Macaca fascicularis: one gene and its partners. The protein of the gene in region 4 purifies or fractionates together with the protein of the main gene of each other region. This does not show direct contact. Links are inferred from orthologs where the notes say so. Each region holds a gene or a part of one and is shown on either strand. Other genes may lie near its edges.

Region 1 (5,727 bases), on a different chromosome or scaffold from region 4:
GCCTGTCCTCCTGCCCTCTACAGAGAGAAGTTTATTGTGCATCTGCATGCCAGGCTCTGGGGGGTAGGGGGAGATTCGAGGGGCCACAGATGCCAGCAGGTGGCCCAGGCAAGGCAGGGTGAGAGAATTTGGGGTGAGGAGGTATCAGGCATTGAGACTGTGCTGGCCTGGGGAAAGCCCGTCCTTCTCCGACGCCCTGGCTGGCTCCTCCCTCAGCCCCCTCTTATGTGGACAGGAATGGCCCACTCTGGATTATACTGACATCTCCAAATTCAAACATCCTGGCCCTCACGTCTCAGACCCCTAATGCCCATCGGGGGCGGGTGGTCGGGGAAGTACAGCAGCTGCCTGGGCCCCTTCCTGACAGTGCCCCCCTTACTTTCCTCTGTTCTCTGCAGGAGGATCAGCTGGGCCTGTCCTTGCTCAGCCTGGAGCAGCTGGAATCAGAGGAGACGCTGCAGAGGATAGAGCAGATTGCTCAGCAGCTCTGAGCGGGATGGGCAGGGCCATAAATGATTCCTGGTGACTCCTGAGTCTTGCCTGGCCCTGGGTCCCAGCAGCTCCGAGGCCGTAGCGGGGGTGGTGCTGGAAGGTCTTATAAACTCAGGTGACATTCCTCACTGTCACATCCACGGCCTTTAATCGCAGAAGAGGGCAGGGGGCACCTAAGAGATGATAGACCCCCCCCGCCGTCCCCCACCAGCTGAGGCCAACACAGGTCACTGGATATTAGCGGGGACTCAGGTCCTGGGTGCTGGCGCTGAGGGTCCGAGGGGCCTTGTCCAGGTGCCAGCTGGGGAACTGGAGACAGGCACAGGGGATGGTTGGAGGGGAGGGACAGGTGCTGCGTCCAGCCTGGCAGCCAACCGTCTACCCATCTCACCTCTACCCCAAGTAAAACCCATCTTTGCTCTTGTCCTGGGTCTCTTTTAACACACCCACCACCTGCTGACTCTGACGCCGGCCTGACTGCCCTGCTTTTGCCTTATCTCTGCACCTACCCACGTGGCCCCACTCCATTTTTGACCCCGGTGTCCCCTCACCTGAGTCCCAGGAGCCCTTGGGCCATCCACATTGAGTGTGTTGAGCGACATGGCTCTCTTCATTCTGCGAAGGGGGCAGCAGGGAAGAAGCGAGTGAATCCAGGAGTGGCCCCTCCAGGAGGGAGCTTTCCAGCACAGGATTTGATCTATGTGTATCACAGGGGAGATGGGAGCCATGGAAGGTTCTTGAGCAGGAGGGGTGGGGGGGGGGCTATGAATTCTGCTGATGTCAGGGCTCTTTGCCGACCTGATCCACACTCACCCGGCCGCCCCCGCCGCCCCCTCGCCTCGGAGGCGGGAGACCAGCTTCTCACTTCCTCGCCGGATAGACTCGCGGATCTTAGAGAGGGAGCTGCTGCGGCGAAGGGCCTGGGGAGGGGCAGGGATGCTGCTCATATCCCCGAGCCCATGCAGTCCCCACGCCTTCCCCAGGAGCCGAAGCACAGCCCATCCTCACCTGTTCTGTGTCACCAGCTGTGCCTGTGTTGGGGGCACCTAGGGGAAAGATGGGGGACACCGAGATGGGGACGTAGAGAAGCCACCAGGAGGGAAGGCAGGGGCTCGGGGCTCACCGAGAGGGGCAGGTAGATCCTCCTTGTGGAGGATTTCTTTGTACAGCTCTTCCGCTTGTTGGTACTTGTTCTGTTTCAGGTAGGCTGAGGCCTGCGGAGAAGGGAGTGTCTTGGGTGATCTTGGCTCTAGTCTGGGAACTTTTCGGACCCCAGTTCCCAACACTGCATCCAGTCCCACTTTTTTTCTTTTTTTTTTTTGTAGAGACAGGGTCTTGGTATGTTGCCCAGGCTGGTCGTGAACTCCTGGCCTCAACTGATCCTCCTGCCTTGGCCTCCCAAAGTGCTGGGGTTACAGGCGTGAGCCACCACACCTGGCCCCAGTCCCACTTTCTACTGTGCTGACCTGGCCATATCCCGCCCCTGCCTAAAGCCTTGCCCTGGGGCAGAGGGGGTTTGGAGCTCCGCCCTACCTCCTGCCTGGGGGATGGAGGGCAGGCAACCTCCTGTTTCTGAGCCTGTCTGCTCTACTTTGGGCTGGTGGCATGGCCTCTCTTCTCACATGCAAAGTAGAGCGACAGCTTCTACCTCATAGGGACACTGTAAGAACTAGTGATGTGGGGACAGAGCTAAGAGGGGAGCCGGCCACAGTGAGCTCAATAAATGTCTGCTGCTGCCATCTGTGCCTGCCAGCTTCCCCTTCACTGACTGTCCTGGGTGCCGTGGACTCACGCATTTCCTGATTCCGTGTTCTGTGCTGAGCCAGCTCCTGTGTCCGATAGGACACTTGCTCCAAGGGCCCTGCCTCAGGGGGACCCCTCCCCATGGTGCTCGCCCTGTACCCAACCAATGGGTGCCTCCCCAGGGCAGACCCTCCACTCTGGGCCCACTCAGCCCCAGGGACCTCACCAGATTGTTCTTGGTCTTGGCCACGTTGGGATCATGGGGCCCGCCCAGGGCCTCATAGATGCTCAGGGCCCGGGCGTAGTGCCGTTCCACGTCCTCAAACTTGCCCTGGTTCTGGCACAGCAGGGCCAGGTTGTTGAGCTGCTTGGCCACATCGGGGTGGTCAGCACCTAGGACCTGGGGGCCAGGGGTCACAAGTCAGAGGGGTCATACAGGATTGGTGGGACACGTGACATCACTTCTGTATGGTGGTCACAAGTTAGGGATTACAGGGCCAAAGCAGAGTGACCTGAGAGGTTGGGGGCTGGGGCACAAGTGACACCGTCGAGCGGGATTACTGAGGTCAGAGGCCAAGGTGATCCAGAAACACGGGGCACAAGGTGAGATGGGTAGGTCAGGGCTGGGCTTGTGCCAGTGGCCATGAGGGGTTGGAAAGGCTGTGGCGGGACCTAGTTGGGGGGTGGCGTGTGAGGTAAGGCAAGAGGTCAGAGTCAGGGTCAAGACCAAACTGGGATCTCAGAAGGTCGAGGGTGATGGGTTGGGCTCCAATTGGGGTCTCCCAGTACCAAACGCAAGGGGCCCGAGGATCAGGGTCACGATGTAAGTGCTCAGGATCCATGGAGAGGGCTACAAGGGGTTCCTCGGGGTTGGGTAAGGGGGATGGGACCTTCTCTCGGATCTCCAAAGCGCGCTGGCACAGGGGCTCTGCCTCCCGGTAACGCCCGCGCTTCCCATAGAGGACGGCCAAGTTGTTGAGCGTGGCGGCCACCTGTGGGGTTGGGGGAGACACAGGTCAGGGATGGGCAGGCACGGCCCCACTTCGTCTCCCTGGGTCCCCACTCACCGCAGGGTGCTCAGGGCCCAGCGTCTGCTCCCGGATCTGCAGGGCATCATGGAGGAGCTCTGTGGCTTCTTTGTACTTGTTCTGGTCCCTGTGTGGAAGCCCAGGGATGGCGGGGGTTGGCCGGGGGTTGGGGCAGCTACAGCCACAGGGTCTGGGCTAATTCTGGCAGGTCCAGGGAACCTGGCTGAAGCAAGCATGGGTAGCACCCTTTGGGGGCCTTTTATGGGCCCTTACATACCTTCCAATTCTCTAACACCAGGCCCTGTATCCCCAGACCTCTGCCAAGCTTCTAACCACCCCAGTTCTCTTGCCTACTCTTGGGGTCCCTGGTGTCTGTGCTCTGACTCCTCTCTGCCTGGCTCAGTGCCCCGCCAACCCGCCAGATCCCTGGCCCACTCCCTCTTTGCCGTTCTTACAGCAGGAGCCTTCCCTTCCTTTCCCATTCTGGCTGTCCCCTCCTCCAACCTCCCCAGGTGCTCCATGGTGGCAGAGGGGACACCAGGGTCCCTCCACTTGCACCCAATGGGTCCCTGCCGTTCCTGCCCCCTGCCATGGCCGGCCGCAGCTCTCACCGGTATACCAGCGCCAGGATGTTGAGCATGGTGGCCACGTCAGGGTGGCAGTGGCCCGAGCTGCGCTCCAGGTCCTCCAAGGCCTGGCGGCACAGGGGCACCGCCACCTCATACCGGCCCTGCCCCGCGTACTGGATCACGAGGTTATGCAGGGTCCGAAGGCGGGCAGGGATCTCATAGCCACCCTGCTGAGCTGCTGCTGCTCCTGCGGCCTCAGGACCTGGGTGGGGCAGGGTGGGCTCTAGGTCACTGCAAGCCTCCTAAACCTCCTGCCCCTCCATCCTCGCACGAGGAGACACACGCCCCAGACTGCCTAACTGGCCCCTGGGACTATGGGCCCCCATGTTAACTTCTGAGATTGGAGTCACTAGCATCTAACCAGCTGGTGGGATGCATCCTGGCCTCGGGACAGGTACATGGCAGCTCACTTGCCCTGCAAGATGTGAATACGGGGCCTGCCGGGCTCATGGCAGCTACCCTGTCTTCGCAGCTCCCAGCCTCACCTGCTCACTGTCACATTCAGGGTCCTCCTGACCCTGCCCTCACCTCTCCATCCCTGTTCAGAGACTTTGGGGTTCTGCAGCTCAGAGCCCACTCCCCACCCTGGCCCGCCATCATCTGTGGCATGTACTCCGGATACCCACCTTTCCTCTCCTCCTCCTCGCTGGGGAACAAGGAGGCCAGGCTGTCTCGGCGAGGCGGGGACTCAGACTGCTGCAGGGACAGGATAGTGGGGGGCCGGGGGAGGGGGGCTTGTTTCAGGGACTGGAGCCCTGCATCTATCTCGGGGTTTGAGGGAGGTGGTGATCATGAGCGTCAGGGGCCCCCTGGGGGACTGGCGAGGCCCGGGGGCTTCGGGGAGCAGCTAGTGGGGGCGTCTGCGGAAGTTCTGGTGGGTCTGGGGGCTCTGTGGAGGGTTGGGGGACTGGGATTCTAAGGAGGGTCTGGGGAACCGTGGGGCTCTGTGAAGGGCCCAGCACCCCCACCTTGCCCTGCCCGTGGCACCTGGGTCTCCGTGGGCGGGTCGTACTGTCGCAGCTGCCCCAGGAACTCCAGGTGGCGCTTTTCCTCCTCCAACTGGGCCACGGCCTCCTCGCTGGCACGAAGCCGCCGCTGTGTCTCCTCCAGTTCCTCCCGCAGCCACACGTTCTCCTGGGCCAGCCGCCGGGCCTGCGAGCGCAGCCGCTGCTTCTCTGCCTCCAGTGCACCCACGTGTGCCGACAAGGCCAGCAGCACCTGCCCAGGGTGTGGGTCCCAAGTCGAGGTTGGTTCCTACCCTGCCAGACAGCCTCTGACCCAGCTCAGACCTTGAATCAGGCCGCTGCACCCCACTACTATGCACGACACCCCCAGATTCTGCAGAGACTCCACCAGCGTGGCTCCAGTGCCCTCAGAGGCTCTAAGCAGCCCCTCTGATTTCACCCCCGAAGTTGCCCTAGGACCCACAGTTTACTGAAGAATGCCATCTGGTTCAGGGGTCCCTGTCACATACAAGGACCCCCTAGAACTGCCAAGGGACTCCATCTCTGGCCTGGAGCCTCACCTTCCCAGGCCTCGTTCCCCTAGGCTTCCGCCTGCCCCAGATATGCCTTTCTGCCATACTTTTTTTTGCTGTTTTTTGAAACAGTCTCTGTCACCCAGACTGGAGTGGAATGGCACGATCTCCACTCACTGCAACCTCCACCTCCCAGTTTCAAGTGATTCTCATGCCTCAGCCTCCCGAGTAGCTGGGATTACAGGAGCCTCATGCCCAGCTCATTTTTGTATTTTTAGTAGAGATGGGGTTTTGCCATGTTGGTCAGGCTGGTCTTGAACTCCTGACTTCAAGTGATCTGCCCACCTCAGCCTCCCAA
Region 2 (5,727 bases), on a different chromosome or scaffold from region 4:
GCCCGCTGTGTACTGTACTTACCCCGTTCCACTCTACGCTCATACTCACTTCCTCCCCTCCGTCAGGGCCACTCTCGTACTTGACCACGTCCACGTTGAGGCTCTCACGGCTCCTGCGCTTCTCCATGTTCTCAGGGTCATTGAGCACTTCCGCCACCCTCTGTTTGTGAACATTGTCAAGACCCTGTGAGCCAGGCAAGGGAAAATGGTTGGACCCATTAGCACTTCAGATTTTCTTAAGTATTTCTGAGATACTTGGCTAGAAAACAAAATACCAGTTCTTAATCACTGGAGGGAAAAAAACTGGAACAGTGGTTCCTTGGAGCGGGTGAGGGTGGAGGCGGGAAACTGGAGAGAAACACAAAGGACCCCTTAGGGGAACAGTGACGGGGCTTGGGTTGCACAGGGTGTGTGTCCATGTTCAATCATTCTGGGTCTGTATCTAGGACTGGAACAGCTGGGCCATGTGGTTTTCTAAGTTTAACTTTTAGATAAGCCATCAAACTTCTCCAGTGCCTGCACCATTTTACATTCCCACCAGCAAGAAGACATGAGAGTTCCAGCCTCTCCGCATCCTCACCAACACCTGTTATTTTCCATTTGTTCTCTTTTTTATTATAGCCAGTCTAGTGGGGATGAGGTAGTATCTCGCTGTGACTTCAGTTACTATTTCTATAATGACTAAAGATGTTGAGTGTCTTTTCATGTGATTGTTGACCATCTGTCTATCATCTTCAGGAAAATGTCTATTCAGGTCCTGTGCTCATTTTTTAATTGGGTTGCCTTTTTTTCTGGATACCAAAACCTTATGAGATACATCATTTGCAAATATCTTCCCCCATTGCATGGGTGTCCTTTCACTTTTTCTTTTTCTTTTTTTCCTTTGAGACAGGGTCTCTCTCTGTTGCCCAGACTGGAGTGCAGTGGTATCATCTAAGCTCACTGTAACCTCCACCTCCCGGGTTCAAGCGATCCTCCCACCTCAGACTACCAAATAGCTGGGACCACAGGCATGGGCCAACACACTTGGCTAATTTTTTTAAAAAATTTTTGTAGAGACATAGTATCACTATGTTGCCCAGGTTGGTTTCGAACTCCTGAGCTCAAGGGATTCCCCCCACCTCAGCCTGCCAAAGTGCAGGAATTACAGGTGCTCACCACCACGCCCAGCCCCTTTCACTTTCTTGATGATGTCCTTAGATGCACAATAGTTTTTAACTTTGGTGAATCCAACAGATCTAGTTACCTAGTTTTTATTTTGCTGTTCATGCTTTTGGGGTCATATTCATGTTATTTTATTTTATTTTAATTTAATTTACTTTTTGAGACGGAGTCTCGGTCTGTTGCCCAGGCTGGAGTGCAGTGGCGTGATCTTGGCTCACTGCAACGTCTGCCTCCTGAGTTCAAGCAACTCTCCTGCCTCAGCCTCTCGAGTAGCTGGGACTACAGGCTTGTGCCACTGCACTGTATTTTTAGTAGAGATGGGGTTTTGCCATGCTAGCCAGGCTGGTCTCAAACTCCTGACCACCGGTGATCTGCCCACGTTGGCCTCCCCAAAGTGCTGGGATTCAGGTGTGAGCCACTGCGCCCAGTCTCACGCCTTTGGTGTTTTTTTTGTTTTTTTTTTGCTTTTTTTTGTTTTTTTTTCAATTGAGACGGAGTCTCATTCTGTCACCCAGGCGGCTGGAGTGCAGTGGCGTGATCTCGGCTCACTGCAGCCTCCACCTCCCAGGTTCAAGCGATTCTGCTGTCTCAGCCTCCCGAGTAGCTGGGATTACAGGATTACAGGCATGTGCCACACCACGCCAGGCTAATTTTTATATTTTTAGTAGGGACAGGGTTTCACCATGTTGGCCAGGCTGGTCTCGAACTCCTGACCTCAGGTGATCTGCCCACGTTGGCCTCCCAAAGTGCTGGGATTACAGGTGTGAACCACTGTGCCCGGCTTCACGCTCTTTTAAACAATATAACTTTATTTGTTCAAACTAAAATAATCAACATTTTCTATTTCTAAATCAAGTTTTCAACAAAAGTCATGTAAAAGAGAACCATTAAATTCAAAGTTCCCAAGGGCCGGTTAAGGACAGAAGTATGACTGACCTGTTTACGAGACCTCATGGCAGCTTCTTCTAATGTTTCTGCAGCTTCAAATTTGCCTTGACGTCTGTAAAGTGCCCCAAGGTTTTTTAGAGTGGTTGTAACAGTTGGACTGTAAGAAAGCACATGACATATAGAACTGTGACATATAAGCTGTGAACAACCACTATCAACAGCACATAATCTAAAGGACTGACAGATTTATGTTTTGGCTTGACTATATTTTAACTTTCTCTTGTACTTTTTTGAAACTGTAAAATTATGAAGAGTTCTTCCTTCTCAAGTAGCTCTGCCTCCTATAACCCTGGCCCTTCCTGTACACAGCCCCCTCAGGCCAGGCTAACACCATACCCCATCCAGGCTGAGGCGGCTCTCACAGACCACTGGCCACTCTGTCAACAGAAACTTCCGGGCCAGGTCTGTGTGGTGATCAGCATGCTTTCCCTGGAGACACCTTGGTCCGCACTGGCAATAATGACAAACAGTGCTCTGCATGGTGCTGCTCACGTGCTCCCGTCTCCCTCAAGTACAGGGGAGAAGAGAGCAAAGCAGACCCTCCCTATCAGTGGGGTGTGAGGGCAGAGGATAAATGCTTCATGTACCAGGGAAGCAATAAGCAGATGGCCGAGAGGACGGCTGTGTTTCTGTGTTCTTTTTTATTTTTCAAACTGTATAATTAGGCTTGATGTTTCTGCATTCTTGATAGAGCAGACTTATTTTAAAAAATTATAAATAAACCTAGATTCATTTTAGCATAGATAAGTACTTCGAGAGATTTCTGTTCACTTTCTTACAATAGGCATTTTGGGTACAGAAATAAGCTATTTTCTATGTCTCTGAAACAAGTAATCTATGGTAAGTGTTATGGGAGCCCTGGAGAGGGTTCCGAGAGTTTTCTGAAAATAGATGAATGGTAGGCTGAGTCTCAAAGGATGAGGAAAGTTAAGAGTGGAAAGACACGGTGGCTCACGCCTATAATCCCAGCACTCTGGGAGGCCAAGGTGGGTGGATCACCTGAGGTCAGGAGTTCAAAACCACCCTGGCCAACATGGTGAAACTCTGTCCCTACTAAAAATACAAAAATTAGCCGGGCATGGTGGCAGGCGCCTGTAGTCCCAGCTACTCAGGAGGCTGAGGCAGGAGAATCGCTTGAACCTGGGAGGTGGAGATTGCAGTAAGCCAAGATCGCGCCATTGCACTCCAGCCTGGGTGACAACAACGAAACTCCGTCTCAAAAAAAAAAAAAAAAAAGAGCGGAAAGGCAGTAAAACAGGTGAGCCACCTGGACCCAGGTACGGCAGCCATCACAGACGGCAGTCAGCACAGGCTCAGGCCCAAGAGGCAAGGCTCTAGGGCTGGCCATGGAGGGGCCTACACTTCCCTCTGCAGAGGACAAGGCCCCATGGGCCATGAGGAAAAGAAGCGTGTGTGGATCTGTGTCTCCAGTGCTGTGTGTGAGGGGCTGGCCTTCCCAGGCCCGCTGGCACGCTTGTCATGAATTTGCTGTATGGTTTCTACCATTAAATGTAAAAGTAAGGCAATTACCTTTGCACCAGCCTAATATGATGGTGGGTTTTATACATGTAAATGATCTCATTTACAAAGTTAGTGGGGTTTTTTACATTGGAATTTGGGAAAAACATGGGACTGTGCACTTAAGGAACACTATACATCGGTCATTTATAAGCTGCCCTGTAGAACACAATTACCTTCCCCCTGCTTTTCAGTTTTTCCAGCCAAACGCGATTCCAGACATACCTATCAACTTTGCAGGCTTTGTACCAGCCGCCATACTCTCCAAAAGACGTCCCATCCTTTTGCTTTCCCTAAATTACAACAAATAATTTCAAATGAATATCCTGAATGCAGGATATACAATTTAGAAAATCTCAAAATAATACATTCTTACTTTGCATTCTTCTCTTTCTTCAGCATGCATCCAGATGGGTTTATTTTCATCTAGGGAAGAAAACACAGCATACAGGTTGAGCATCGCTAATCCAAAACTCCAAAATCTGAACTGCTCTAAGGGGAATTTCCTTTGAGGGTCAAGTCAGCACTCGAAAAGTTTCAAATGTTGGAGCACTTTGGGTAATGGATACTTAACTTGTACTACAAATGAAGGATAACAGAGCCTGCTAAGTAAAACAGAAGTCATTAAGCCTCGGTGGCTGCTTTTTTTTGTTTTGTTTTGTTTTAAGATGGAGTCTCACTCTGTTGCCCAGGCTGGAGTGCAGTGGTGTGCTCTCGCCTCACTGCAACCTCCACCTCCTGGGTTCAAGCGACTCTCCTGCCTCAGCCTCTGAAGTAGCTGGGATTATAGGCGCCCGCCACCACGCCCAGCTAATTTTTTTGTATTTTTAGTAGAGATGGGGTTTCGCCATGTTGGCCAGGCTGGTCTCAAACTCCTGACTTCAAGTGATCCACCTGCCTCAGCCTCCCTAAGTGTTAGGATTACAGGCGTGAGCCACCACGCCCAGCCTGTTTTCTTTTTTATACGATCCTTGTTAGATACTACTACTTACAGCATGGACAGATTAAGTTCACACTGCAGGAAAAAGTCTATGGAAGACAGAGCTGGACACCAAGCAACAGGTTAAGACACAGGGTGCAGAATCAATGTTCTGAGACAGGTGATCAACTGTGAAGACACCCCAACAAATGCTAGGACCCTGTAACGTAACCGCTAAAATGTTAGCTGCTCAAGTAGCACAAGGGAGTATTCAGAATGTGAGCGCTAAACAAAAGCATTAAACAATAGTCTAAGAAAAAGTAGTAAGATGTTGGTAGCAAAAGTAGAAAAGATATAAATCAAGGCTGGGCGCAGTGGCTCACACCTGTAATCCCAGCACTTTGGGGGACTGAGGCAGGAGGATGACCTGAGGTCAAGAGTTCGAGACCAGCCTAACATGGTGAAACTTGTCTCTACTAAAAATACAAAAATTAGCCAGGTGTGGTGATGTGCGCCTGTAATCCCGGCTACTCGGGAGGCTGAGGCAGGAAAATCACTTGAATCCAGGAGGCGGAGGTTGCAGTCAGCCGGGATCATGCCATTGCACTCCAGCCTGGGCAACAAGAGCGAAATTCCGCCTCAAAAAAAAAAAAAAAAGAAAGAAAAGGAAGGAAAGAAAGAAAGCATACAAATCAATAATCATTTTAAGTCATCTTCTCGGAACACTCACCCAAGTTTCTAGACAACCAACAGACCCATGCCATGGGGGAAAAAGCCATCTTAAAATCATGTTTATGAAAATATTTTTATGACTGAAAGGTACTCACACTAAAAATGTAAAGAAAATAAGCAGTATACATGATGATATGGACGGTATGGTTTGAAATCTGTAAACCAAAGGCACAGAAGGAAGGAAAGACATTAAAAATGTGAAAAGATGGATTTGGGTGATTCTCCTCTTTCCATTTCTGCATGAATTGGGTATGTCTCTGCAGTGAGAACGTGAAGATGGATGTGGGTGATGCTCCCGTCTCCATTTCTGTGTGAATTGTGTAAGTCTCTGCAATGAGGACATGATATGGGCTCTGGGCACTGCAATCCCAGTCTAACTGCTTCTCAGTTACAAGGCCTCATGCAAGTCACTTAGTCTGTGGCGTCCTTGCTGCTGCTGCTTTTTT
Region 3 (5,727 bases), on a different chromosome or scaffold from region 4:
GGTGTATCTGGGAGGCCCAACAGGCAGGACAGGTACCCTGTAAAGAGGAAAAATGAAAGCCAAAGGAGGACCAAGGTGGGAATGTAGGGGAAGATCTGGGCACTGGAGGAGGGAAGTCCTCACCGATACACCAAAGCAAGGATGTTGAGCATGGTGGCAACATCAGGGTGGCCACGGCCTGATGTGCGCTCCAGGTCCTCCAGTGCCTGCTTACAGAGTGGCACAGCCACCTCATAGCGACCTTGGGCTGCGTACTGGATCACCAGGTTGTGCAACGTCCGCAACCTTGCTGGGATCTCATATCCACCCTGCTGAGCTGCTGCAGTACCTTGACCACGGGACACTAAACCATCACAGAAAATAAACAAAGGACTCTTCCTCTCTCCTTTGCTGTCTGCCCTTCCGTTCCCCATTGCACGTCTTGTTCCATACCTATGCCTGCCCCAACATGGGCTCTCAATATTAGACCTGCCTCAAGCACTATTCTTTTATTCACTCCCTTGACCTGTGCCCATCACAACCTCAGTTATTCACCCAGTAATTCATTCATTCAACAAACATTTATTTAATAAATATGAACCAAGGGATGTCCCAGGAGTACAAAGGTAAGAAAGACCTGGTTCTGGCCAGGTGCAGTGGCTCACGCCTGTAATCCCAGCACTTTGGGAGGCCGAGGCAGGTGGATCATGAGGTCAGGAGTTCGAGACCAGCCTGGCCAATATGGTGAAACCCTGTCTCTACTAAAAATACAAAAATTAGCCGGGTGTGGTGGTGGACACCTGTAGTTTCAGCTACTCGGGAGGCTGAGGCAGGAGAATCACTTGAATCCAGGAGGTGGAGGTTGTAGTGAGCCGAGATTGGCCCACTGCACTCTAGCCTGCGAGACAGATTGAGACTGTCTCAAAAAAAAAAAAAAAAAAAAAAAAAAAAACCTGGTTCTTTCCCTTGAGGGGCTCATGGTCTCCCCATCTCAGGTTTATTCTCCCACTAGACTGTGAACTCCTTACTGGTGAGACCTATGCCATTTCCATCTCAGTACTCCTAGTGCCTAGCACAGTACCTGGCACATACTCAGTGTTTAATACATGTTTGTGGCCGGGCGCGGTGGCTCACGCCTGTAATCCCAGCACTTTGGGAGGCCGAGGCGGGCGGATCACAAGGTCAGGAGATCGAGACCACGGTGAAACCCCGTCTCTACTAAAAATACAAAAAATTAGCCGGGCGCGGTGGCGGGCGCCTGTAGTCCCAGCTACTCAGGAGGCTGAGGCAGGAGAATGGCGGGAACCCAGGAGGCGGAGCTTGCAGTGAGCCGAGATCGCGCCACTGCACTCCAGCCTGGGCGACAGAGCGAGACTCCGTCTCAAAAAAACAAAACAAAACAAAAAAAATACATGTTTGTTCAGTGGAGAGGCTGAGGAAATCGAAGTACTAGCCCAGCCCCTGCCCTGTCTCCAGAAAAAGTGGATAACCTATTTCCAGATGGTGAGTGTCCTGTGTACAGGGTGGGCCACAGCTAGGGCCAGCCTCCTGCTGCCCCTTTTCACCATCCCATTCCCGAGGCAGACTCACAGCCATTGCTGGGGTCCTCTTCCTCCTCATTAGGGAAGAGGTCATCCAGGGAATCCTTGGTGGCATCGCCTTCTTTCTCCTCCTAGAAGGGAAGAAGCAACATTAAGGGCCAAGATATCCCTACCTAGTAGCCTCCTCAGTGACCCCTCTAAGCCATGAAATCACAGACAGATGGGGCATAGGAGAAGACTGTTGTTCCTGTCTCTGCCCCGGAAAGGCTAGCAACTGGCCCAACCAAGCCCAGGCCTCTGGTTTGTAACAGCCAGAGATGCTTTGGACAAAACTTCCCCCTCCTTCTCATACAGAAAGTTTCCTTCCTGGCCGGGTGTGGTGGCTAACGTCTGTAATTCCAACACTTTGGGAGGCCGAGGTGGGCGGATCACCTGAGGTCAGGAGTTCAAGACCATCCTGACCAACATGGAGAAACCCCATCTCTACTAAAAATACAAAATTAGCCAGGCGTGGTAGCGCATGTCTGTAATCCTAGCTACTCGTGAGGCTGAGGCAGGAGAATCGCTTGCACCTGGGAGGCAGAGTTTGCGGTGAGCTGAGATCGCGCCATTGCACTCCAGCCTGGGCAACAAGAGCGAAACTCCGTCTCAAAACAAAAAAAAAAAAAGAAAAAAAAAGATTAAAAAAAGTTTCCTTTCTAACCACCCTCAATCTCTCCTTAACTCTTGTAATTATGGCCCTATGCTGATCTCTGTGTGTTTATGTTGATTATATGTCTGTCCTGTCTCTCCTGAGGGAAGGGAGTATGTCCGATCTTATTGACATGTACCCAAAAAGTGTCTAGCTCAGCCTGGTGCCCATCATCTGCACAGCTCATTCTGGACTTACTGCACAACCCTCCCTCACCGTCTAACCTATTCTGCACCAGGAAAATCTGCTGTTCCCCATCAGGAACTGCAGCCTCATCCAAACACCAACCTTCCTACCCAGCTTCACCAATGTGTCCTGTGCAATCCATCTACTCACTTTCCCTGAGAGAGACCAGCTTTTCCAGGCTGTAAGCCTTATCCATGACACCCTACACTCCAGTCTAAAAAGCTCCTTCCTCTTCCTCATCATGAAATTTCAAAATCCATCTCGAATGGGATGGATCCTAACCCACTGAAATGGGAAATCCAACCTATATCCTACCCATCCCTGTACCCTGCTTCCTCAATTTTTTTGTTAGTTTTTTGAGACAGAGTCTCTGGTCTGGCAACAGCCCAGGCTAGAATGCAGTGGTACAATCACAGCTCACTGCAGCTTCTACCTCCTGGGCTCAAGCAATCCTCCCACCTCAGCCTCCCGAATAGCTGACACTACAGGTGCACACAACCACATCAGGCTAATTTTTTAAATTTTTGTGGAGACGGGGTCTCACTATGTTGCCCAGGCTCCCTGCTTCCTCCATGAATTCTTCTTAGACCATTCCAGCTCTCAGAGACATATCTCCGTGAAATTCTTCCCACACTGACTGAACCACTCATCCAGCACTGAGCACTTGCTGCTTTGTATTTTGTCACATATGTGTTCTCATGGATAAGACTTGTTCCCTACAGATACATCTGAAGAAAACACACTCTCAGCCAGGCACGGTGACTCACACCTGTAATCCCAGCATTTTGGGAGGCTGAGGCAGGCAGATCACTTGAGGCTAGGAGAATGAGACCAGCCTGGCCAACATGGCAAAACTCTCCGTCTCTACTAAAAATACAAAAATTAGCTGGGTGTGGTGGCAGATGCCTGTAATCCTAGCTGCTTGGCTGGCTAAGGCACGAGAATTGCTTGAACGCCAGAGGCGGAGGTTGCAGTGAGCTGAGATGGCATCACTGCACTCTGTTGAATGAGGGTTAAATATCACACATTTTGGGTCAGGCATGGTAGTTCACACCTGTAATCCCAGCACTTTGGGAGGCCCAGGCGGGCAGATAACCAGAGGTCAGGAGTTCAAAACCAGCCTGGCCAACATGGTGAAACCCCATCTCTAGTAAAACTACAAAAATTAGCCAGGTGTGGTGGCAGGCGCCTGCAATTCCAGCTGCTTGGGAGGCTGAAGCAGGAGAATTGCTTGCACCTGAGAGGCAGCGGCTGCCATGACCCAAGATTGCACCATTGCACTCCAGCCTAGGCAACAAGTATGAAACTCCGTCTCAAAAAAAAAAAAAATTCACACATTTTGAAAGCAAATTTTAGGAGGGTCATGCTCAACTGGGCTATGCTTTCCCTAATTGTAGCACGCAGGATTCTGGATTGGAATTGTCCAGGTGTTTGTCTGTCTATTTGTCAAGCTTGTAATTGTGAGAGCAGGAACTGTGTGTGCCCCACTCACCAGTGCAGTGCACAACGCCTGGTACATAGGAGGCATCTCATTACATGTTGACTGAATTAGCTGAATATAGTTTTTCCCCTTGCTGTCACCAGGAGCTGGTGTCAGGGCTGAAAAAGGAATTCTTTCAGGTAAGAGCAGTTTGGGTAGAGCTAATGGACCCTGAGGATGATGAGGCAATTTCCCCCATGTCTGTGGTAACTCCTGGCTGCCCACCCCTTAGCCAGTCTCGCCTGTGAACACTCACCGTGGTGTGTCCATCCTCATCATACTGTCGCAGCTGCCCCAGGAACTCCAGGTGCTTCTTTTCCTCCTCCAGCTGAGCCACAGCCTGTTCACTGCGCTGTAGCCGCTGCTGGGTGCCAGCCAGCTCGTCCCGCAGCCACTGGTTCTCCTGGCATAGCCGCCGCACCTGAGCCCGCAGCTTCTGTTTCTCCGACTCCACTGTGCTCAGGTGGCTGGCTAGAGCCAGCATCACCTAGATGGGCATATCCCCTGAGCTCCAGATTCTGGGTGGGAGTATTCAGGAACAGGTGGAAGGGGAGCCTACTGGGACGTAGCAAGACTGGCAGGTGCACAAAGGAGCCAGAAGGTGGGGGTGTAGCAGTGGCACTACCTTCAAAACATCCTGAATCCAATTTCCCACCACCTCCACTGCCGTCACCCTGGGCAAAGCCACTATCAATTCCTACCCAAATTACTACAATAACTTCCTCACTGGCCTCCTTGTTGCTGCCCTTGTTCTCCTACTGTCTATTCGTAACCCAGCAACCAGATGATGCCAAGTTAGACCACATCACTCCTCTTCTAAAAACATTCCAATAGTTTCCATCTCACTCAAAGTAAAATCAGGGTCAGGCACAGTGGCTCACGCCTGTAATCCCAGCATTTTGGGAGGCCAAGGCGGGTAGATCATGAGGTCAGGAGTTCAAAACCAGCCTGGCCAACATGGTGAAACACCATCTCTACTAAAAATACAAAAATTAGCCGGGTGTGGTGGTGCGCGCCTGTAGTCCCAGCTACTCAGGAGGCTGAGGCAGGAGAATCGCTTGAACCTGGCAGACAGAGGTTGCAGTGAGCCAGGATGGTGCCACTACATTCCAGCCTGGGCAACAGTGCAAGACTCCATCTCAAAAAAAAAAGTAAAATAAAAGTCCTCGGGATGGCCTACAAGTTCCACTTGATCCATCTCCCTCCCCTCATTCACTCTACTGCAGCCATACTGGCCCCTTGCTGTTCACTGACCTCACCAGGCAGACTTCCGTTCAGAGTCTCTGCACTTGCTGCTCTCTCTGATTAGGACGCCCTTCCCCTGTTTAATAGGCATGACTCATTCCCCTCACCTTCACATCTTTGCCAAAATGTCACCTTTTCAAAAAAGGGTGACCTTTTTTGACCACCCTATCTAAAATTATACCCTCTCTCCACAGTCCCTAGTCTCCTTCCCTGCTTTATTTTGGTCCTTTTATCCTTAGCAATTATCATTCTGGCATACCAAATCATTATTTATTTAGGTATTGTCTGTCTTCCCCAGCTAGAAGGTAAGCTCCAAGATGGCAAAGATTTTTACAATTTTGTTCAATGATGTATTTCTTCAGTGACCAAAAGCATTCTGGCACATAGTAGTGACTTAATACATATTTAATGAATGGATGCAAACGTCTAGAGTGAGGTGATCCCAAGCAACCCCAAACCTTCAATCAGGTACCTGCTCCTCCATCCACCCTGGACCACTTGGCACCACCTTTGCCCTCTCACCTGGGCCTCACTCAGCCCGAGCTCAATGTTTTCCATAGAACGGCGAAGCTGCCGGGCCTTCTCATGCACCAGCCCTTCCTCAT
Region 4 (6,276 bases):
TACTTTCATGGTTCATAAACAGGTGTAATTTTTTATTGATTTTTCTTCCTGGCATTTTTAGCAAGCTCCTAATTTTTTCTATCATTTTTTTTTCTGGTGTTTTCAGCAAGCTCATTTCAAAGACATAAACTGTTTCCCTTGTCCTTGTTTTGCAGGTAACAAGTTCTCTAATTTAAAGCAAATAGTTTATATCACTTATAGACTTTCGTAAAATAATTCATTTCATTCAATGTTACATTTATAACACTTCACCAAGCACTTAATTAAAAATAAATTCTGTATTAAAGGCTGTACAGCATACAGAGAAACACTATGAAATTGAAAGATTTGCCTGCCATGGTGTCCTATTAAAATCACTGATTACATGAGTAGCAGGAAAAAAGTTTAGACAAAGTATTAAAAACTGAAGTTAGAAGAAAAATCAGAATCCTTAAAAATTACTTTCTCCATGAGCACTGATTATGCTTCTAACATCATAAACTACTCTTTCAATTTTGATCTAAATAGAAGATTGTGTACAAAATGTTCTTAAATCACGTTTTAAAGAATTGAGTTTTAAATGCTGCATTGCAGCAATTCTCTCCTAAACTGTTCATTACGAATCAGGATTAGAAACCAGTAAAATGAAAAAAATAAACCGAGAAGATTTTACCCAGAGATTTTCTAATTCCGCTCCTCCTGGCTGCTCTTATAACCATTTACAAAATGAAATAATTCATTTAAAAAACTGAACAAAAATGAGACTTCAGTAATTAATGTCGTTACTATAGGCAAGAAACTATTTCTGAAAACAATGAACCAAAACATGTTGCCTTTCATTTTTTAAAGCTGTTATTTAGTTGTATTTTTGCTTACACTTAAAACAAACAAACAAACAAACAAAAACAGGCCAGGCACAGTGGCCCACACCTGTGATCCCAGCACTTTGGGAGGCCGAGGCACGTGGATCACCTGAGGTCAGGAGTTCTAGACCACCCTGGCCAACATGGTGAAACCCATCTCTGCTAAAAATACAAAAATTAGCTGGGCGTGGTGGCACGTGCCTGTAATCCCAGCTAATCAGGCAGCTGAAGCAGTAGAGTCGCTTGAACTTGGGAGGCGGAGGTTGCAGTGTGCTGACATCACCCCACTGCACTCCAGCCTGGGCAACAAGAGCAAAACTCAACTCAAAAAAATCTCAAAAAAAAAATCAACCAACCAAAAAACAACTAAAATGCTTATCAGTTTACCTAAAGGTTAACTGTTCATTATGGATTCACAAACCAACAACCTATACATTTATTCCTAATATTACCGTTTATATAGAGTACTGAAATTTTGAAACAGAACTTATAAGCAACTTTTTCCCAATGGAAACCTAGAATAAATGTATGTTTCCTTTATTCATTTTCCTTTAGTTCTTTCTTCATAGTTTATGTCATATCTGGGCCTCATCAAAGGTTACCTTCTAATCTTAATACATTTTATGAATCCTAAATTTTAGCATTCCAACAAAAAGAATCATAGTGATAACTACAGATCTGTGTAAACACAAAATCTGAAGAAATAAGACATTCTTAAGACAAGTGTAAAAGGAAAAATAGGTTTGTTATGTGCCAACCACTGCTGAAGCTGAGTACTGTAAATTACAAAAACTCTTAAGAAACTAATGGCCTCAAGTGTGACAACTAATCTAGGCCTTGCAAGCCTCCAGACTATATGTAAAATATACCATCCTAAAGGAAAAGGATTACTGCGCTTAACTACTCCTACTCCGCCTCTGCCAACCTATGATGTCATTTACACAAGAGGTTTTCTTGTGCACTTGTTAACAAAGAACTGGCCTGACAATCTTTACACAGTAATAGTTGGCAGTTGTTAGTGGCCTAATGACTTGTTTGCCAAAGGCCTACCAAGGAGCTAAGACATTCATTTTTCGGAGCTGAACTTTGGAGAAACTTTCACATCAAAACCCTAAAGAACTTTAGTCTGTCTTCAGTGTCAATGCTTTCAATCATCCTTGTCCCATCTCCTGTGACCTCTGCCCTATTTCCAAATTAAATAGCCCCATACAATTATTAACTACAGAATGACATTAGAGGAAAAATTAACATATTAAAATTTCATACTACGGTAACAATGTAGAAAGTTAGTTCTACTACATAGCATTGCCAAGAAAGATGAACATAATTTAGTCACAGTTCACTGTTTCGTATGCCATACTTTACAATTAATTTTTAATCTCCTTCAACTAGGAGTGCTATTTTCTCAGACCTTTCAATGCCAGAGATCAGACCTTAAAACACCCTCACATTTTGGTCTCAAATGATCACTCAACTCTAGTTATGTTTTACATTACAAAAAAACAGTATCTCACTATTCTTGGGATTACCAAAGATCAATTTTCTTCAAGATAGACCTTAATTGCAGAAGTATGAATCTAATACTGGTCAATTTTTATCTTTTTTATAAGCTTGTTTTTATAATACTTTGATATAAAAACAAAAAGCTGATACTTTTTCCTAGGCTGTTATCCCATAAAACCTAGCAAGAGTGCGATTTGTCTTTCGGAGCACTTATCTGACTCAACCAAAGTCGGCTAGGTCTGCTAGATTAAACAAAATTGATCATTCCGATTTATTAAAAAAAAAAAAAAAAGCTCAACTATTTCTTTCTACAATCATCCATTTACCATTTGTAATTGTTAACATGAAAAGTCATTCACCACTCAAAAAGTGGTGGGTGAAAGTTTGAGGTGTACATAATATTTGTAGCTGTTTGGTGCTTTTTCCTTCTCCCAGGGGGAAACAACACGGTTCAAGGACTGGTTATGTTTCTATAAAACTAAGTATCTTTACTAAAGCATAATACGGCTTGTCTCACAGCTCAATGTCCCCAGCTGAACTTTATATAAGCATTACATATTTTCTGAATGGCAAATTTGGGGTTAATCCAAAACACCAATATCCGTAATTGCACACACAGAAACGCAGACAAACGTGCACTGAAATTGCTCCCCGGACGTTCCTCCGTTGCCGCAGGTGGGGGAGTGTCCAGGGCTGAGGCTGGGCGCCTCCCGTCTCCCGGCGCCAAAGACCGGGGTGGGGGCGATCCCGGAACGCACGCGAAGCTGCGCAGTCTTCCTCCACTGGGTTATCTGAACCGGCAAACCCCGCCGGGGATTGCTGGGGACACCGCTGCTCCCTTTCAATTCTGCACCCTGCCACTTCCCTAAACTCTCTGCACAGCCCGGCCCGAAGAAGCGGAAGGAGGGGTGCCGGAGGGGGTCACTCACCGCGATCACGACCGTGTCTTCTCCCTGAAACTTGGCGACGTACTTGTCGCCGCGGTTCACCTCAGACTCGTTGAGAGGTCTGAAGCGACACATCACTTTGATGTTGCACTCGGCCAGGTCCGCCATCTTTCTCGCAGCCGGGGCCGGCGGCCGGGAGCCACTCCCGGCTGCTTAGTCTTGCGGGGAGCGCGACGGGGCTAAGGGCCTGGGGTCGCTAGGGCCGTGAGAGGCAGCAGTCAGCTGCGCAGCGCAGCGCTTCCCCGGGCGGAGGCGGCCGGGGAGCCGGGACTCGAAGAGCCGGCGCCGGCAGCCGTTACCCTAAGGCTCACTTCCGATCCATCATGGCAGCCATGGCGGCGGCGGCACCGGGGAGAGCGTCGGCGGCTCCTCAGCGACGCCCTCGACGGCCTGGGCGTGCTGCGGAGGCTGGGGAGGTTCTGGGGGCCGGGAGAGTGGCCACCTTCTTCCTCCTCGCAAAGAGCAGATCGGGCCTACCCGTCCGCCCGCTCCGCTCCGCTGTCCGCTGGCCGGCTGGCCGGCTGCTGCCCTATCACTCTTGAGGCCGCCGTTGGGCGACTGGGCGGCGCGGGTGGAGGAGTGCGCCGGCGCGGTGGGCCGGGAGGCACGGCGACCAATCCGTGCCCGAGCTCGCAGCCGGTCGCTGCTGCCGCGCCGCCGGTTCCGCCACCACTCCTGGCCAGGAGTCGCAGATTCAAATTTTACAGCACTGACCGTCTCGCAGAAGTGCCTGGGGACGCAGGGCGGCAGCTCCCAGTCGCCATCCCCAGCCGCCGAAGAATCCCCCAGAGCTAAGGCAGACGTACTTAGCTTTCTTTTCTTTGGGGGAGAAAGGGTTTGCTTTAACTACTTAATGTGGTTTGTTTAAATAAATCACTAGGCTGGTCCGGGTGCGGTGGTGTTTGCAACTAGTTGATGACAGCCAGAGATTTGTTTCTTCTCCACTCCCGCTGTGTCACTTGACCAGCTTTAAAATTAAAAACATAAAGTACTATATTCCTAAAAGGAAGTGTTGCTTTCATTTTTTTCTGGCGGCGGGAATCATTCCTGGTCTACCTTTTTAGAGCGCATTGCCAGAAAAAGTAAGATTTCAATGAAGGGTAACTCTTTCCTGAGAGTGGGATGTAGGGAGACAGGAATAAGAAAGAAAAAGGAAAATTTTCCTGAGGAATGAAGAAGGTTGCTGAAGAAATGTGGAACAGCAGGGTGAGGAGGGGGAAGCGCCCTCAGCCCCCCTCACACAGCATCTCTGTCACTTCATCTGCCCAGTGCCTTGTATCCAGCCCGCACCCTCGCCGCCCCCACGCAGTTCAGCGAATTCCCGCCACTTCGCCGGCAATGAACATACGGAACTCATCAATCCCAATACTGGAGGAATGACTGACCTGGAGCATAAAGATGGTCTTTATAAAAGGCCTAGGTAAATTTGTGCATTACATATCCAAGGAAAACCACTCCATAGCTGATTTTGCCTTCTAGTTTTAGAAGATGAGTACCAAAAAATTCCACGGGGAAGTGGATCTGAGGAAGTGGCTCTGAGGTGCTGCGGAAGAACTGCAGTAACACCTCCTCCCCCGGTCCCCAATTTCTGTTTGTAAAACGAAGGATTGAACTATGAAAACCTCCAGGGCTCCCTGTGCTCACCCAATCATCCTAATACCTCCAGAAACCAATTCAGAGTTCAACAGATTCAGGTTTATTAATCCACTGCCTTGAAGAAGAGCTCAAGCTCAAGGAACCTTAGAGCATCTCACCAAACAAAAGAATAGATGGAATTAACCCGGGGCTTTCTGGGAGGTGTGGAGTTCTGATAACATTTCAATGAAGCAGTGTTTTGAGAGGCCCCAAGCAAGGCAGAGCTGCAAGTAAAGGCATTAACATCAGATCTGGCCAGGGGTGGTGGCTCACGCCTGTAATCCCAGCACTTTGGGAGGCTGAGGCAGGCGGGTTACCTGAGGTCGGGAGTTTGAGAGCAGCCTGACCAACATGGAGAAACCCTGTCTCTACTAAAAATACAAAAGCAGCTGGGCATGATGGTGCATGCCTGTAATCCCAGCTATTCGGGAGGCTGAGGCAGGAGAATCACTTGAACCCGGGAGGCTGAGGTTGCACTCCAGCCTGGGCAAGGAGAGCGAAACTACATCTCAAAAAAACAAACAAACAAAAATCAGGTCTGGACTACAGTGGACCCCAGGTTCTGTTTCTTTGAATACTAAAGTTAAGATGGATGGGAAGGGTTGTCTTCAGAAACCCCTTTTTCCAAAGCTCTTCACCTGGCTTGGAAGTCAAGGCTGCTTCTCTGTGTCTTAGGTCCTCCAAGTAAGAGTGGAATGTTTTATTCTTACTGATATAATTTCAAGCAACAGTTTCTAATAGTCTATGATCTTTGTAGAATCGGTTTTCTCAGTAAGAAATCCGTAGGCCAGGCATGATGGCTCGTGCTTGTAATCCCAGAACTTTGGGAGGCTGAGGCAGGGGGATTGCTTGAAGCCAGGAGTTTAAAACCAACCTGGGCAACATAGAGAGACCTTGTCTCTACAAAATAATAAAATTAGCCGGGCATGGTGGTGAGTGCCTGCAGTCCTAGCTACTACAGAGGCTGAGGCAGGAGGATCGCTTGAGCCTAGGAGCCAAGGCTACACTGAGCTATGGTCATGCCACTACACTCCAGTCTGGGTAACACAGCAAGACCCTGTCTCAAAAAAAAAAAAAAAAAAATTAGGTAACTCAAAGAAGGAGTTTGTGTGACACTTTATAAATGTAATATGTCCTTAAGAGAAATACTCTTTTCTGCTTACCTTTCAGCTGGCTTTACACTCTGTCTGTTAGTCCAGTCTAATCAATGAAGGTAGAGTCTTACTTTGTCACTCTTTCAGTCCTAGTATTCTTTACCTGGTTCCTTCATCATATCTATATCCTGTCATCCTTATCTACAATTGCAGAAAAAGTCAGCACTCTCCCTCTCAAAAACTAATTTCTCAGTT
Region 5 (6,284 bases), on a different chromosome or scaffold from region 4:
GCGCCCGCAGCTTCTGCTTCTCTGATTCTACGGCCCCCAGGTGGCTCGACAGTGCCAAGATCACCTGTGCAACCAGCCCAGGTAAGGGTCGGAGCCCCATCGACCCCTCGCCTATGACTGTAGCCTGGGCCTAGTTGGGCTCTGGGACCCAGTGAAGGGCCAGGCCTGGCCCTACAGTGAGGAGCTGTAGGCCTTTTCTCTCCTAGTCAAGGGAGAATCTCCTCAAGGCCTCAAACACACCATAGTGCAAAGCCCAAACCCAGGAGGCTTGGGAGTCCCCAGTTCCTTCCTTCTGGGATCAGGAGAACCCCAAAAGGGCTCTCCTGTGAGAGAGTTGGGGTGCTGTGCTTTCCCTGAGCTACTAGCCCCTTCCTTCATCTCTTCCTGGGTTGTACTCAGGCCCCTGCTGCCACAGCCACGAGGTTACTGCTCCCTGCCCCAGGGCTAGTGCTTGCTCACAGAACTCTGCTAGATGGCTGAAGGGCCACCCAAAGACTCCATCCCCACTTCTGCTGAGGGGGCCACAGCATCCCCTGCCTTTCTGCAGCTCCCAGGTAGGGAAGGGGCATGTATCCCAAATGCTCAGCTGGCGTGAGGAACCACAGGGGCAGGAAAAGTATCCAGAGGCCTTGGCCTCAACCCCCACCCCTCTCCCCAGCCTCTATAACTCCTTTCCTGAGTTTCCAGTCTCTTCCTGCGTTCCTGCCTAGGTTCCAACCTCCCTTCTTGCTCTCTCTCTCTTTTTTTTTTTTTTAATTTGAGACAATGTCTCACTCTGTCACCTGGGCTGAAGGGCTATGGCACCATCACAGCTCACTGCAGCTTCCACCTTCCAGGCCCAAGTGGTCCTTCCACCTCAGCCTCCTGAGTAACTGGGACTATGGGTGCACACCACCACACCTGGCTAATTTAAAAAAAATTTTGGCCAGGTGCGGTGGCTCACGCCTGTAATCCTAGCACTTCGGGAGGCTGAGGTGGGCAGATCATGAGGTCAGAAGATTGAGACCATCCTGGCCAACATGGTGAAACCCCATCTCTACTAAAAATACAAAAATTAGCTGGGTGTGGTGGTGTGTGCCTGTAGTCCCAGCTAGTCAAGAGGTTGAGGCAGAAGAATCGCTTGAACCTGGGAGGTGGAAGCTGCAGTGAACGGACACTGCACCACTATACTGCAGCCTGGGTAACACAGTGAGACTCTGTCTCAAATATAAATAAATGAAAATAAAAAATTTTTTCATAGATACGGGGTCTCATGAACTCCTGGATTTAAGCAATCTTCCTACCTGGGCCTCCCAAAGTGCTGGAATTACAGGCGTGAGCCACCACACCTGGCCTCCACCCTTTCCTGGTCCTTCACGGTCCAGGGTCATTTCTGCAGTGGTGTCTCCAGCTAGTCACACCTCCCACTCTGCTCCAGTTTCACTCATGGCCTTGATGCCCATGCCCTCCATGCAGACTGTTCCCCCTCTGTGAGAGTGCATGTGCTCCACCAGGTGTGGGACCCCTGACTGGTCCTCTCTGCCTGTGATGGCCAACTGGCAGAGGAGTGAATGTCCTTGCAGAGGGCCAGGCCGTCTGAGACCCTGTACTTTACAGTTGGTTAGCAAATGCCTAAGTGACAGGTGTTTCCATAACCACTAGCTTAAAAAAAAAAATTCCTCCAACAGCCTGGAAGTATACACAGCAGATGGCATGATCCCTATTTTAAAGAAAAGGAAACCAAGATGATACAACCTCCCCAGGGTTCATGTGCCAGGCAGGGGTTCAGCCAAGCTCTGAGGAGAATAAAACAAGTCTAACTCCTTGCACATCCCAATGGCTCCTGGACATCTCCAATTGCATATCATCCTGGCAGCCTCAACTAAAGGGGGCCAAAACAGAGTTCTGATCCACCCAGGCCCTCTCCTCCCTAATGTGCTTAAATCACAAACCTGGGAGTGATGCTGCCTTCCTCTCTCTCCCTTATTCCACCCTGGGTCTTCCTGGACCTACCTCCAGAACATCCAGAACTGGTCCCTTTTCTCCACCATCATAGCCACCCCTTAATTCCAAGCACCAGCTCTGATTTGAATTCCAGCAGTGGCTTCCTAACCACTCACTGGAGAGTGATTGCATCCTCGACCCACTGAGATTTATTCTCCACATCTCAGCCAGAGAGAGTTTTTAGAAATTCAAGTCAGACTGTGTTGCCTGTCTGCTTAAAGCCCTCCAGAGGCTTTCTGACTTCCTGAGGATAAAACCCACACTAACGAGGCCATGATCTGGCTCTTGGCTTCTCCCCAGGCCTCTTCTGTCCCTCTCTCCCTTCCATGAAGCTCCAGTCACACAGTTCTTCCCCGAGTTCCTCCACCACAACTCCTACCCCAGGACCTTTGCACATGCAACTTCTCCCCTGCCTCCCTTTCCTGGAGACTGGTTCATTTCTTCCCTCAGGTTTCAGTTTGTCATTTCCTCATAGAAATCCTGCCTGACCAGTAGACAAGACTCACTGCTGTGAGCTATCATAAAATCTTGTTCTTTTCTTTGTAGAACTCATCACAATTTGTAACAACCAATTATTTCCTTATGTGTGCTTTTGTCTCTTTTCCAAATAGGGCAGGAATCCTGTCTATTTTGTTGGGTCCTGTATCCACCTAACGGCCTGGCTGGCACTGAAAAACTCATCTGTTAACGAATGAATAGAAGAATAAATCGGTGGGAGGCTGTGTTTCCTTAAGGATTTTCTTTCTGTTCTCATATGCCATCCAGTCTCCCTTAGGTAGAGGGGAGCTGGGAATGGGGCTCTGCGTGGGGGCGAGGGTGATCATGGTCTCTTAGGGCAGGGCTGGGGTCGCCAAAGTGCATTTATTTCTTCAAAAGGTATTTACTGGGGTCCTAACACGGGGCTCCAGGAAACAGAAGATTCCTTGCTCATATTCTTCTCCTAGATTACTGGATTTCTCTGGAAGGCTCGATCCCACCTCAGTACCCTAGACTGACCTACCTGGGCCTCCCCCAGCCCAAGCTCAATGGCTTCCAGGGAGCGACGCAGGAGGATGCAGCGCTCCTGCGAGCCAGGCTCGGCTTCGCTGGCCTCAGGCGCAACCAGAGGAGCCAGCAGGGCACGATGCTCCCCACGCAGAGTCTCCAGTCCCTGGATGACGGCCTTGGTGCCCAGCACGATCTCATCCTGGCTCAGCTTCTCCTCCCGCGGAAGCACCATCATGGCCATGGTTGTGGCGTCTGTGAGGACGAGGGTGCGGGCAGGCGGGCGCCGGGCCTGGGGCCACACCGCCCCAGATTAGGTAAACACAGGCGGTCCCCGGACGCCTGGTCCCGTGTGCCCAGGTCCCCCAGCCTGCAACCCGTACCTTGCCCACGCTTGGCCTACAGAGGGCGCGCCCGGCTCGTCTTGGCCAGGGAGACGCAATGCGGTGCGGCCGGACCCTGCTTCGGCCCCAGACCACCGGCTTAGGCCGACTTAGGCGGCCCAGTGTCCGGGTTTCCCCGGGGACCCCCTAACCAGGGCAGGTATGGGGAACGTGGGGGCTCTCTCCTGTGCAGGAGACCCTGGTCCCTCCGGCGATCCGGGCCCAGCCCCTCGGACAGCCCCATCCCCAACCGGCAGGCCACGCCGCGGAGCCCATCCTCCCGACGGGCCGACCCTGCGGAGGCCATCTCCCTACAGGGGCTGAGACCGCGGCCCTCAGTCCTTCCAGGTTGTGCCCACTACGACCCCTCCCCTGGGCCAGCGCAACGTCCTGCGGCCTCCCCTAAAAAGGCCGCGCCCCTGCCCTGGGCCACCCGGGACCGCGCCCCCTACCAGGGCTGGTCGGATCCTCCCACAGGCCGCGCCCACGACGACCCCCTCCCCTAGGCCGACCTGGAGCCTCCCCCTGCTTTAGGGCCTGATCCCGTCTCCCGGCCCAATCGGCCCGCGCCGACCTGCGCCTGGTGCTCGGGCCCGGCTCCGGCTCCGGCTGCCTCCCGCTTCACCCGGACCCACAGCCGCGAGCCGGTCCCGCCGCCTCCATCCCGCCGGCCTTCCCAGCAGCCCCCGCGCCGCCTTAAAGGTGAAGCCGCTACCTCGGTGGCGTCGGAGGGGGCGAAACACGCTTCTCACGGCCAGCTCGCTGCCTTAAAGGAGCGCGGGCCGGGCCGGCTCCAGCGGGAGGGGGACGGGGCGGGGCCATCGAGGCGGGGGCGGGGCGAGGACCCGCCCGGGGCGCAGTTTCCAGGGGCCCGCCAGCCCCGAGGGGTGCCCTCGGCCTCAAAATGGCCCGGGTCCTCAGGGTGTGGAGCTGCTCGGGAGATTGAACCCTAAGGTACCTAGTGTGGCGCCATCGAGGACGGCGGGAGAAACTGAGGCGCAGGGAGAAGGTTGGGCTTCCCGGAGTACAGAGCGAGGCATTTGCCACTAATTGAGCGCCTACTGCGTGTTGCGCGCCTTGGTGCCCTGGGTTCATTGACTTAATGCTCACGAAGACCCGAGAAGTGAATGCCGCTGTTACCTGGCTCGCAGATCTGACCCCGGGCTTCGCATCCCGGGGTCACATCTGGTGGGGGACGCACCATCTCTGACAGAGGTGGTTCAGCGCCCTTAGCTCAAGCACATCCGGTGACAGGGAGCTTACTACGTTCGGCTCTGAGACAACTCCAAAGGTTAGCAAAATTTTCCTTGTATAGACCTCGAAGTGCCTTCCTGCAGTGCTCATCCACAGCCCTAGCTCTGTCTTCAGAAAGAAAGCTGCTCCCTTATGTCGGTTAAGGTATTTGGAGACAGCGATGGTGCCCCGCGTGGTCTCATCTCTTCCCCGGGCTGCTCCTGGTCCTTTCGCTCAGTCCTACCGCAGTTTCCTGACCCTTCCCCATCCCAATTTCTCCTTTCTGGGTGTAGTCTAGCTTGTCGGTCCTGCTCAGAAGGTGGTGCTCAGCCCAGGGCCCAGTGATCAGAGACGAGGAATGAACTGCGCAGATCAGAGGGACGGTACCCCCAGGATGCCACCTGTCCACAAAAAAAGCCGCAAACCAGGCTGCCTTTTACACAAGTGAAGACCCTCTATTTTACACATCTCAGTTACATCCAACCAGGTTCTTCTCAAACCTGTTCTCTGCCAATGATTTTTTTTAAGAGAGGTTCTGGTCCAGGCGCGGTGGCTCACGCCTGTAGCCCCAGCACTTCGGGAGGCTGAGGCGGGCGGATCACGAGGTCAGGAGATAGAGACCATCCTGGCTAACACGGTGAAACCCCGTCTCTACTAAAAAATACAAAAAATTAGCTGGACGTGGTGGCTGGAGCCTGTAGTCCCAGCTACTTGGGAGGCTGAGGCAGGAGAATCGCTTGAACCCAGGAGGCGGAGCTTGCAGTGAGCCGAGATCGCGCCCCCGCACTCTGGGCGACAGAGGGAGACTCCGTCTCAAAAAAAAAAAAAAAAAAAAAAAAAAAAAAAAAGATTCTTACTTTATAAAATACTTTATAAAAAAAGGTTCTTACTTTATCGTCCAAGCTGGCGTGCAGTGGTGTGATCATAGCTCACTGTAACCTCAAACTTCTTTGTTTTCTTTTTGAGATGGAGTCTGTCTCCCAGGCTGGAGTGCAATGGCACGATCTTGGCTCCCTGCAACCTCCACCTCCAGGGTTCAAGCGATTCTCCTGCCTCAGCCTCCCCAGTAGCTGGGATTATACCACACACCACCACACCTCGCTGATTTTTTGTATTTTTGGATACGGGGTTTCACCATGTTGGCCAGGCTGGTCTCAAACTCCTGACCTCCGGTAATCCACCCACCTTGGCCTTGGCCTAGCCTGTAACCTCAAACTCCTGGGCTCACGAAATCTTCCCATCATAGCCCCCCAAGAAGCTAGGACTACAAGTGCATGCCACTACACCTGGCTTTTTTTTTTTTTTTCCCAATTTATTTTCTTAGAGACAGGGTCTTGATATGTTGCCCAGGCTGGTCTCAAGTGGTCCTCCATCTTGGCCTCCCAAAGTGCTGGGATTACAGGCATGAGACACCGTGACTGGCATGATTTTTTCTGGATAGCTAATACTTTCATTTGTGCAACATTCAAAAGACATACAAAGGCCAGGCTCAGTGGCTCACACCTGTAATCCCAGCACTTTGGGAGGCTGAGGCAGGTGGATCATCTGAGGTCAGGAGTTTGAGACCAGCTTTACCAACACAGTGAAATCCTGTCTCTACCAAAAATACAAAAATTACCTGTGCCTGGTGGTGCACACCTGTAGTCCCAGCTACTGAGGAGGCTGAGGCAGGAGAATCGCTTGAACCCAGGAGGCGCAGGC

What was found.
Region 1: the proteins of KIF5B (region 4) and KLC3 purify together in Homo sapiens (affinity purification with mass spectrometry; 3 studies listed by BioGRID and IntAct, with this or other methods). This does not show direct contact. The link is inferred for Macaca fascicularis from reciprocal best matches to the Homo sapiens genes KIF5B and KLC3.
Region 2: the proteins of KIF5B (region 4) and KLC1 purify together in Homo sapiens (co-immunoprecipitation; 11 studies listed by BioGRID and IntAct, counting the BioPlex papers as one, with this or other methods). This does not show direct contact. The link is inferred for Macaca fascicularis from reciprocal best matches to the Homo sapiens genes KIF5B and KLC1.
Region 3: the proteins of KIF5B (region 4) and KLC4 purify together in Homo sapiens (affinity purification with mass spectrometry; 4 studies listed by BioGRID and IntAct, with this or other methods). This does not show direct contact. The link is inferred for Macaca fascicularis from reciprocal best matches to the Homo sapiens genes KIF5B and KLC4.
Region 5: the proteins of KIF5B (region 4) and KLC2 fractionate together in Homo sapiens (co-fractionation; 7 studies listed by BioGRID and IntAct, with this or other methods). This does not show direct contact. The link is inferred for Macaca fascicularis from reciprocal best matches to the Homo sapiens genes KIF5B and KLC2.

What each region holds. Positions count from the first base shown.
Region 1 is NC_088393.1:53,398,836-53,404,562, reverse strand, and holds the end of KLC3 (kinesin light chain 3), read right to left. Parts: intron 5,111-5,727; coding exon 4,880-5,110; intron 4,589-4,879; coding exon 4,519-4,588; intron 4,095-4,518; coding exon 3,875-4,094; intron 3,391-3,874; coding exon 3,303-3,390; intron 3,228-3,302; coding exon 3,126-3,227; exon of another isoform or gene 2,829-3,125; intron 2,636-2,828; coding exon 2,462-2,635; intron 1,707-2,461; coding exon 1,616-1,706; intron 1,539-1,615; coding exon 1,501-1,538; intron 1,413-1,500; coding exon 1,306-1,412; intron 1,108-1,305; coding exon 1,044-1,107; intron 914-1,043; exon of another isoform or gene 802-913; coding exon 730-801; 3' UTR 618-729; downstream 1-617. Other genes in the region: ERCC2 (general transcription and DNA repair factor IIH helicase subunit XPD), read left to right, coding at 399-491. UniProt on the Homo sapiens protein: Kinesin is a microtubule-associated force-producing protein that may play a role in organelle transport. Plays a role during spermiogenesis in the development of the sperm tail midpiece and in the normal function of spermatozoa.
Region 2 is NC_088381.1:171,853,371-171,859,097, reverse strand, and holds part of KLC1 (kinesin light chain 1), read right to left. Parts: intron 4,057-5,727; coding exon 4,007-4,056; intron 3,924-4,006; coding exon 3,856-3,923; intron 2,210-3,855; coding exon 2,101-2,209; intron 185-2,100; coding exon 23-184; intron 1-22. UniProt on the Homo sapiens protein: Kinesin is a microtubule-associated force-producing protein that may play a role in organelle transport. The light chain may function in coupling of cargo to the heavy chain or in the modulation of its ATPase activity.
Region 3 is NC_088378.1:128,466,188-128,471,914, forward strand, and holds part of KLC4 (kinesin light chain 4), read right to left. Parts: coding exon 5,645-5,727; intron 4,365-5,644; coding exon 4,134-4,364; intron 1,652-4,133; coding exon 1,570-1,651; intron 344-1,569; coding exon 124-343; intron 1-123.
Region 4 is NC_088383.1:32,779,858-32,786,133, forward strand, and holds the start of KIF5B (kinesin-1 heavy chain), read right to left. Parts: upstream 3,853-6,276; 5' UTR 3,401-3,852; coding exon 3,275-3,400; intron 1-3,274. UniProt on the Homo sapiens protein: Microtubule-dependent motor required for normal distribution of mitochondria and lysosomes. Can induce formation of neurite-like membrane protrusions in non-neuronal cells in a ZFYVE27-dependent manner.
Region 5 is NC_088388.1:8,131,370-8,137,653, forward strand, and holds the start of KLC2 (kinesin light chain 2), read right to left. Parts: upstream 4,120-6,284; 5' UTR 4,066-4,119; intron 4,039-4,065; exon of another isoform or gene 3,863-4,038; intron 3,497-3,862; exon of another isoform or gene 3,351-3,496; intron 3,260-3,350; 5' UTR 3,212-3,259; coding exon 2,984-3,211; intron 2,717-2,983; exon of another isoform or gene 2,595-2,716; intron 82-2,594; exon of another isoform or gene 65-81; coding exon 1-64. UniProt on the Homo sapiens protein: Kinesin is a microtubule-associated force-producing protein that plays a role in organelle transport. The light chain functions in coupling of cargo to the heavy chain or in the modulation of its ATPase activity.